Kluyveromyces lactis: one gene and its partners. The protein of the gene in region 2 interacts with the protein of the main gene of each other region in a biochemical or structural test. Links are inferred from orthologs where the notes say so. Each region holds a gene or a part of one and is shown on either strand. Other genes may lie near its edges. The genes, in order: KSS1, KLLA0_F03597g and FUS3.

What was found.
Region 1: the proteins of KLLA0_F03597g (region 2) and KSS1 form a complex in vitro, tested with the Saccharomyces cerevisiae proteins (2 studies listed by BioGRID). The link is inferred for Kluyveromyces lactis from reciprocal best matches to the Saccharomyces cerevisiae genes MSG5 and KSS1.
Region 3: the proteins of KLLA0_F03597g (region 2) and FUS3 form a complex in vitro, tested with the Saccharomyces cerevisiae proteins (3 studies listed by BioGRID, with this or other methods). The link is inferred for Kluyveromyces lactis from reciprocal best matches to the Saccharomyces cerevisiae genes MSG5 and FUS3.

Annotation. Positions count from the first base shown.
Region 1 is NC_006037.1:217,070-220,255, reverse strand, and holds KSS1 (mitogen-activated serine/threonine-protein kinase KSS1), read right to left. Parts: upstream 1,665-3,186; coding exon 576-1,664; downstream 1-575. Other genes in the region: LUG1 (Lug1p), read right to left, coding at 1-110; KLLA0_A02475g (FAD-dependent oxidoreductase), read left to right, coding at 2,569-3,186. UniProt on the Saccharomyces cerevisiae protein: Together with closely related FUS3, KSS1 is the final kinase in the signal transduction cascade regulating activation/repression of the mating and filamentation pathways, induced by pheromone and nitrogen/carbon limitation, respectively.
Region 2 is NC_006042.1:340,112-343,022, forward strand, and holds KLLA0_F03597g (dual specificity protein phosphatase family protein), read left to right. Parts: upstream 1-1,214; coding exon 1,215-2,297; downstream 2,298-2,911. Other genes in the region: VAC7 (Vac7p), read left to right, coding at 1-394; HOS4 (Hos4p), read left to right, coding at 2,659-2,911. UniProt on the Saccharomyces cerevisiae protein: Dual specificity phosphatase that dephosphorylates MAP kinase FUS3 on both a Tyr and a Ser or Thr. Has a role in adaptation to pheromone.
Region 3 is NC_006041.1:928,478-931,711, forward strand, and holds FUS3 (mitogen-activated serine/threonine-protein kinase FUS3), read left to right. Parts: upstream 1-1,511; coding exon 1,512-2,627; downstream 2,628-3,234. Other genes in the region: PEP1 (type I sorting receptor), read right to left, coding at 1-924. UniProt on the Saccharomyces cerevisiae protein: Together with closely related KSS1, FUS3 is the final kinase in the signal transduction cascade regulating activation/repression of the mating and filamentation pathways, induced by pheromone and nitrogen/carbon limitation, respectively.

The DNA of each region.
Region 1 (3,186 bases), on a different chromosome or scaffold from region 2:
TTCTCACTAGTAGCTGAGTGATCATTAGACATAAGATCCTTGAACTGGTATGATAAGATTTCATAGACTATCTCTGAAGGTAACCGCATCGTCGATGTTTCACTGATCATATTGAACGAATTATGATATGCGAGCCCCGAATAACACGTTTTATACACTTCACCAATCCTTAAAGCTATTTGCACCTGTTTTGGTGCTCTTGATGATTTCTTTAAGATCCACTTTGGTTTTCATTTTTTCTTCTATTGATGCGGGTCTTTTGTTCAAGTTCTTGTTCATTCTAATTATATCGCTACTTTATTTTTCATTTCAGGGCATAAAGTACACTTAAGGTTCATAAGGGATCAAAGAGTATGAAAAACGTGATGTGGTTATTCGTAGCTTTACTTAGTTATGTAATTAACTATATGATTGTCTAATATGAGTATGAGAATTCTTGTATTACTTTTCCTCAATTTGACAGACTAGGCGTCCTAATGAGAAGTACCCATGAAACGTAAAATCCTTGAGTCTCAGTACATTCATTCAAAGACTATGCGGATAGTTTTTTTTTAGTTCATAGAATATCGAACATATCAATTTAGAGGCTTCATAACTTCACCATAAAGCATCTTTTTCAACAGTTCCAGTGGAATATCGTCTTCCTCGTTTTTATCGCGGGCCTCGTTGTCAATTTTCCAAAAATTGTCTTCAAGGTTTAGTTGGGGATAATCTGGCTCGTCATCTGGATCATGATATGTTGCCAAATATGGATGTTCCAACGCTTCAACTGCACTGATCCTCTTGTCTGGGTTGAAAGTTAGCATCTTGGACAATAAATCGATAGCAAGAGGGTTAACTTCTTTATTTAACACATTAGCCCAGGGTATACCTTTCTTCATGGGTAGTTGAGATATGTATTCTTTTGCCCTTTTACTCTTGATTTGTTCAAAGTCTTCCAAAGTTGGAGACCCTAAAACTTCTAAGATGATCCAGAGTTGATGGTGGTAATCTTTACCTGGGAAAAGCGGCTTACCCATGATCATTTCTGCTAGTATACATCCACATGACCAGATATCCATTGCAGTTGTGTATTCTTGGAAGGACAACATGATTTCTGGAGCCCTATACCATCTGGTAGCTACATATTCTGTCATGAAACCCACCATATTCTCTCTTGATTGATCACTCGATGCCAGGCAACGAGCCAACCCAAAATCACACACTTTGAGATCACAATTGCTATTCAGTAACAAATTACTTGGTTTCAAATCCCTATGGATTACTTGTGCCGAATGTAGCGATTTTAAAGCCCTTAGTATTTGATAAACGAAATATTGGATATGATCCTCTGATAAATTTTGTTGGTTGATAATCTTCTGCAAATCCGTTTCCATCAACTCTTGTACAAGATAAACTGCTTCAAATTTATGCCATGACGTCGGACGTACTATATCCAAGACCGATATGATATTTTCATGCGAATGAAAGAATTTCAACAGTTTCAACTCCCGTAACGTCCTGGTAACAAACATCGATCTGCTAAACGGCTGTATCTTTTTAATTGCAACTTTCGTGTTTGTTGGCTTATGTATCGCAGAGCAAACTGTACCATATGCTCCCTCACCAACCAGATCTACTAGTTGATAATGGGATGGGATATCATACGTGATTGTTCGTGGCATCTCTATGCTGTTAGATCTCCGGTTTGCTTGTTATAATGATCTCTGCTATTCCACTATTATAGATTTAGTTTCCCCCCACTAAGGATTAAATATTATATATACCTATAGCGTCCAATTGCAAAACTCTGGATGGGAATCCTTTATCGTCATTCCCGAGCGTTGACTCGGCGCCTTAAGTATCCCATTGAGTTGACACAATGCGCGACGTTCCATGTCGTCCAGATAAAGAATGTTTCGTCCTTGAATCTTTGTTTCATGTTGGTGAACATTCCATCCAATCTCGAAACCTGAAAAAATGTTACCCCGGTGTCAGTCATGTGACTTATAATACACATCACTGCTCGGACATACCGCAATGCGCTTCACCGTTCAAGAAAGTGCAGTTTCACACATGTTCTGTCGGTTGTTACCACTGCGACTGAGCATAAATTGGATCCATGCGGGTAAATCTGCGGAACTCATTTCCCGATAGGTGAACTGAAAGTCATAGTTAAAGTTAACAGAGAATTGATAAGGGAATAGCTAAGACCGCAACGTGGATTTACAGATTTTTCGAGTTACCTTAAATGGTAGTTCCTCGAGAGAAGGCAACATGACTTGACTGTAAATGAGCTGGAAGTGATATCTAAGATAGGTGGGGTCGAGGCAGCGCGTTTGTCAGAATAGCATGGTTTGTCATCGGTAACATACATAAGTGAAGGGACATGGGATTGAGATTCTCTTTCCTCAGTAAAGTTTTCCAACCTAGTTTCAGTTTGAAGTAGGAAACAGCCAATTGGCAGATCACTTACTTGAGCATTCCCAGTTTCTATAGTAGAGTAAAACATCTACTGAATATATCTATAGCGGTGAAAGTCACAATTTCATCAGTAAGCTTTATTTGAGCCTGAAATTATCAAATGACATGTCTAACAAATCTCAGCCATTGATCACTGTTGTTGGTGCAGGTATTTCTGGTTTGTACGTCACGTACTGTTTGACCGAATTGTACGGCGTTCCGGGTGAAAATATCTGCATTGTGGCAGATTACTTACCAGGTGACCAGTCACCCACTGGTTATACTAGTCCATGGGCAGGTGGTGTTTGGTCTTGTATTTCACCTGATGATAAAAACGTCATGTGGTATGATAGGTTCACGTATGAGAATTTACCTACTTTAAGTGAAAAATTACTGGATTTCTACAAGGGTAAAGATGCAGAGTGGTTAGGATTAGCTCGCAGACCATCCACGGAATTATGGGATTACCAGCCTCCCAAGGCCAAGATTAATTCCTTGAGCCAATATTTGGAAGAGTATAAGGTCCTATCGAAGGAAGAACTTGCAAAATTCAAACCTGAGGGAGCCCAATTTGGTATCGCTTTCAACTCATGGAACTTCAATTGTCCAGTATTCATAGTAAACTTGGCTAACTTCTTGAAACAGAAGCATAATGTGCGTTTCTTGAAGCAAAAGTTGACTCATATCGCACAAGCAAAATCGTTTGCCAACAAAGCTTCTAAAACTGATAACGGTACTCACGTT
Region 2 (2,911 bases):
CAATCTCGAAAGTGAACTACAATTTAGAGGAAGATTGATCAACAGAAATTATGATGTTTCTGTTGCCAGTGTTAAATTGCTCAATCCTGGTGCACCTAAAAATAATGGTGATGATGAAGACGGGGATAATGACGATGACGACGATGATAATGGTAACAAAAAGAAAATGGGCCACGATAACCAAGATGAAAAGGGCAATCACAAACTAGAGAATGATATTGACCGTTGGAAAGAATTGATCAAATATGAATTCGAATTGATCGTCAGAGGAAACATGTATTACAGTATCCCATTCTTTAACAACCAGAAAGTACTCCCAGTACAACAGCAAATTTCTGTAGATCCAGACAACTCACCTTTCAGAAAAAAGCATGGAAATAACCATGCGCAATAGAATATAAAGGCCATTTTTTAGTCTGCCAGAAGCTTGTTTAAGTCAGACACCAAGATAACTCATCGGAAAACTTCAACCTTGGCCTTACTTAGTTTTTACAATGTCTTGTAGTATGCCACAGCAACTAATTTGCTTGTAATTATATATAATGATAACAATAAGATATACTTAAAGTACCACAAACTGTATTTTTCATGGCCGAGTTATAAGCCTTAAGTGACCCCAGCAACATCTGCATCAAGAATGTTATTTATTTACTTCTTTTTTTAGGACCTACCTGTGTCCCCAAGAAAAAGTAAAAAAAGCAGAAATGTTGAAATACTAAGCACAAGAAGTAAACTTGAAACAAGGTACCGAAACAGAGCTAAAAGTTCATTTGTCTGTTTTTATCGTCAAATAAATCAACTGCTGTAGGTCCACAAGTTATCATTGTTATTGGCATAGATTTAAACCTTCGAATTGCACGCCGGTGGGTTTTCCTCGACTTACCACACACACATTCAAGGCGGCAGAGGGGATATTTTGAACATATTAACGGGGAACGATTGTGAGATCTTAGCTACTACATTAGAGGATATTTGAGAAAAGCTTGTACAGCAATTTATTGAAATTATTGAATATTGTGTTACTTCAAAGATATAGGAAAACTAAAGCTGGTACTTGATTATTTCCCTAGACGCTGGTAACCCATAAGAAAACCGTTCTTATCTCATCTTGAATTCCTGGCCAAAGAAATTCGGTAAGAAACTTATTTGGTTATAATTATATTAAACATTTGATCATACTTGCAAGTCCTTTTCAATACCCAACACCGAGCGATATGGAGGCACCGCAGAGAATAAGTACAAGGTCACATCATTCGATGCAAAATAAAAATTCAAAGAACCTTTGTCTTCGAATAGGTGATTCCCCAACGAAAAACAAACTAATAATGGTGGATTCAAAACCAAATGAAAGCAATGATACTTTCGCAGTGCCATTGCGCCACCAGCTTACTAAACGTGTAAGTGAAGCACAGATATACACTTTACCGCCACAGCTTAAATCTGCCAGATCCACACCCTCTACACCACAATTACCGTCTGGCAGTTCGGGCTTTGATTCAGCCGCTTCACCCTCATCGTCTACGTCTTCCTCGCCTTTCAATAAACCAACACTTCCAACAATCAACACCAAATTTCACAATAGGCCGAGGGCCACGACAATTGCGACAAGTGTACCTCAGATACAGACGCCCAGTAATGATTCAATGGAAAGCACGACACGGTATTGGGTTCTTCAAGAAAATACGCCCATGTCCTCTACAAATTATGATAATGATATGAAGAGCATCCCATACAATACCCATTCTGATGAAGACTCACCGAGCTATTCAGAATCATACAGAGAGAAATATTATCCCAGTGGACCGTTACTTGTCGTCCCTCCTTTCATATATTTGTATTCTGAACCATCATTAAAAGAAGTAATGGATTACGACGTAATAATAAACGTTGCAAAGGAGATTACCAACTACAAGGAACAACTGCCTCTATCCAAGCAAGGTTGCTATTATCATTTTACTTGGTCTCATACCTCACAAATTACTAAAAACCTACCACAACTAACAGAACTAATACAGAATGCCTATGCCAGCAAAAAAAAGGTGCTAATCCACTGTCAATGTGGAGTATCAAGATCAGCTTCCTTGATAGTAGCTTACATGATGAGATACGACAAATTAAGCTTGAATGAAGCATATAATAAATTGAAGTCTGTCGCCAGAGAAATAAGTCCAAATATGAGTTTGTTATTCCAACTAATGGAATGGGAAGATTGGCTTAACAATTGTGACTCAATCAATGATAACTGTCGGAAACAGTCATTCGAGTCCATCTCGGAATTCGGTGAACTCTCTCTGTGAGATTGTATGATATAAAACGCAATTTTAGGGATACCCATACAAAGTATATAGTAGCCTAAACACTACTCTGTAATAATACGCCGCGGATCTTCTGTTTGGGCAAACTATCAAAACGTACCAAGTGATAATTCTGTTCTTAAAAACATTAAACTTTTGAAGGTTTCTAAGTTATGATATAAGGTAAATAAAGCTGGTGACAAGGGAGAATAATGCAAAGAAACCATTAGATAATACTGTCCTCCCACTTATTATACTTCGGACTTTACGTTACTCGAAGGATTCATTCAGAAGAGTGCGAATTATGGAAAATCAGAGGCCATTCATAACTTTCAAACCTTTCTGAAAAAACCGAGTAATAACCATGAGCGAACCTGTCAAAAAAAGAAGCTTGGGCAGTTATCTATCTCGTCTCGAAGAGAGAAGAGAAGAACGAGAAAGATCAGAGCAACAGCAGCGAGAAAGTCCTAAGCCAGTGGGTGAAAATGGGAATTATTCTGTTACCAATGTTCCAGTAAAGGAGGAAGAGGTATCTCAAAAGGTAACTTCAACTGATCAGAACAGTACAAAACAACCATCAGACGAACCCTATGTCGTTAGCCAAGCAAACAGCTCTG
Region 3 (3,234 bases), on a different chromosome or scaffold from region 2:
TTGTTCAAACTTATCAGTGCTATCATCTTCCAATCTCCAGAGATTTGCGGCAGAATTTTCATTGAACCGATCTGATAATGTCAAGATAAATAGATGATTATCGGAAATGAACGTTGATGCTGGAGACAAATCCTGTAATTGTTCGGCAAACGGACTCAAACTCTTAAAATTAACATCGGTGATATACAACTTACTGGAAACATCTCCGAAAGGGGATAGTACGGTACTCTCCTGACAGATTACCTTGTCTTTTAATTTGTACAGTTTTGATTTTGATGATTTCTGTACGAATGAACAAAACATGTTTAAAGGGTTTGAATCATCATTACTTTTAGAACCAGAGCTGGCCAATTTGAAATTGTTACCATCTTTGGAATAAAACGAAATCTGCCTTAAGGTAAATTTACCATCCAGTTTACCTAGTTCATAGATATTGATAATTCTTGCATTCTTATTTGTGGGATGTGACTCGATTTCAACGTTGATAATCGGTTTACGATTTTCATCGCCGACGTTCGAATAATCAGAGAAGTCTATCTTATGATTATCTGCGTCTAGGAAAGTTAACTGTTTCCAAGATTTCCCTTTATCACCGGTAGCTAAAACGCCGTTTTCACCACTCAAATATGCAACATCTGCTTTATAAATCCGATCTAGTACCAAGTGATTCCATTCCTGAGGTTTGTTATCAGACGAAAGGGGCAATCCCACCGAATCCCAAGTAACACCATTATCCTCACTTCTATAAAGCTCAACACCACGAAGAAGTTTAAGAACTACTCTCGAATCATCAAATCCGAGGATAGACAAGCGGCCATGCGTGTCTACATCCGAATGGAACGATACCTTGGGTTTAAAATCCTGAGCCAAAACGGGCAGAAAGTTCCAAAGCCCCAGCCAAATAAGGATATTCCACCAAAACATGAGACAAAGACGTTAAAAGTACTGCAAGCAATGTAAAAGGGTTTCGTTTATATCGGTAATTGAGTATATACATGAAACACAAGCTAACTACCGCTAAGACCAAAATTACAACGAACTGTTGAACAATGGTTCAAAAGACAATCTGTACGATATATTCTATTTTTTCCTCCTAGCAATTTTGATAATACCAATTCTGAGCATTTGAAAGTTGGTAAAAGGGAAGAAGGAAAAAAAAGGACGCGTCACGTGAATGTGAACATAATTAAGAACCTTAATTTTTCCCTAAACTGTTGCAGCTTGTTTCACATTATCTCTGAAGAAATTAGTCTCGTTTCAAGATGAAACGGCCGTACTTAAGGGAATATGGGGAATGTCGCGTTCATGAATTACAAACAATTAAAGTGAAAACTTCGATGGTTTGAGGTTTTGAGGCGATTTAGTGAGAAACAAGAAGACTTAAGATATTACATATATATATATCATACCTAAAAGTGGGTAAATATGGATAAATTCTCAGGCAAGAAGGGGTGGACAAATTTTTGCTCTGGTTTTATTCATCCAGAGAACCAGAGATAGATAGTGTGACAATGGGCAAGAGGATAGTATTTAACATAAGCTCTGAGTTTCAACTACAGTCGCTTCTCGGTGAGGGTGCTTACGGAGTGGTATGTTCAGCGAAGCACAAACCCAGTGGAGAAATAGTTGCTATCAAAAAGATCGAACCTTTTGAGAAACCCCTATTTTCTATTAGAACATTAAGAGAGATCAAGATATTGAAGCATTTCCAACACGAAAACATAATCAGCATATTTGACGTGCAAAAACCATCATCTTTCGAACAGTTTAACGAGGTGTACATAATTCAAGAGTTGATGCAGACGGACTTGCATAGAGTGATCGTGACGCAGGAACTAAGTGAGGATCATGTGCAGTATTTTGTATACCAAACTTTAAGGGCGCTTAAAGTGCTGCATGGAAGTAATGTGATCCATCGAGATTTAAAACCAAGTAATTTGTTGTTAAACAGCAACTGCGATTTGAAAATCTGTGATTTTGGTTTGGCAAGAATTGTATCTGAAAGAGCAACAGATGGCGATGCCCATGTTGACGCTGATGACACGGATGATAACTCCCCTTCATCGGCGGCTAATGACGGTGACCCGGCAATTTCGGGAATGACAGAGTATGTGGCAACCCGATGGTACCGAGCACCGGAAGTAATGTTAACAGCTGCACAGTACTCCAAGTCCATGGACGTATGGTCATGCGGATGCATTCTTGCCGAGCTCTTGGGGAAACAACCGTTGTTCCCCGGGAAAGATTACAGAGATCAGTTGATCCTGATATTTCAGACTTTAGGGACACCCACGGAACAAGAATTGGTGGAGCTAGTAGAAAATAGACGTGCACGTGAGTACATTCGCTCGTTACCTAAGCATCCCAAGATCAATTGGCGGCGTAGGTTCCCGAATGCATCTGCAGCCGCTCTTGATCTCCTTGACCGGATGCTGCAATTCGATCCGAGGCTACGGATCACTGCCACGGAAGCGCTATCACATCCATACTTGGTCTCGTACCATGACCCGGACGACGAGCCCGAAGGAACTCCGATTCCTTCGTCATTCTTTCAATTTGACCAATGGAAGTCGCGGCTAAATACAAAGGATTTGAAGCGGCTGTTATGGAACGAAATCGTGTCATGAGACACACCATCCAAAAACAAACGAATGACTAAGTAACCACTAGCGTATTATATCATTTTCTTGTGTAGAGGTCTCCAAAATGAACAAAGAACACCATCAGATAAACATAATGCGGTTTTGTGCTTTGGAAAGGAAAAAAAGAAATTGAGACGAAAAGATCCCATTTCGGAGCCGCCGTTCTGCGATTATCTTAAATGCGATTTTTTCTTGTTTGTTTTAGGGGCCCCCTCGTTGCAGGGAAGGTCAAACCAAGAAAAACAAATTACACGCACTAGGAAATCTGTGAACGAAAATGCAAAAAATCCATTGATCCGGACTTTAACACGCATGACTCTTTCCTTCACTATGGTATGCTCTTCAGTCATACATTGCCACATGCAGTAATTCTTACGACCCGATACGATTCCTTCCCCTCTCTATCCTTGCAAACTTAGTAAACTGAGTAAGCTGCACCATTAATGTTTCGGGATGTCCGAGCTATTGTGTGATTCGAGTAGCGCACAGCAGTTAGACGCGATTTTTTTTTTCTAACGCGCTGCATTACTTCGCTTAGTATATCCAGCCATTTTTTGTTGTTTTGGTTTTTAGTTTTCGCTTTGATTAACAA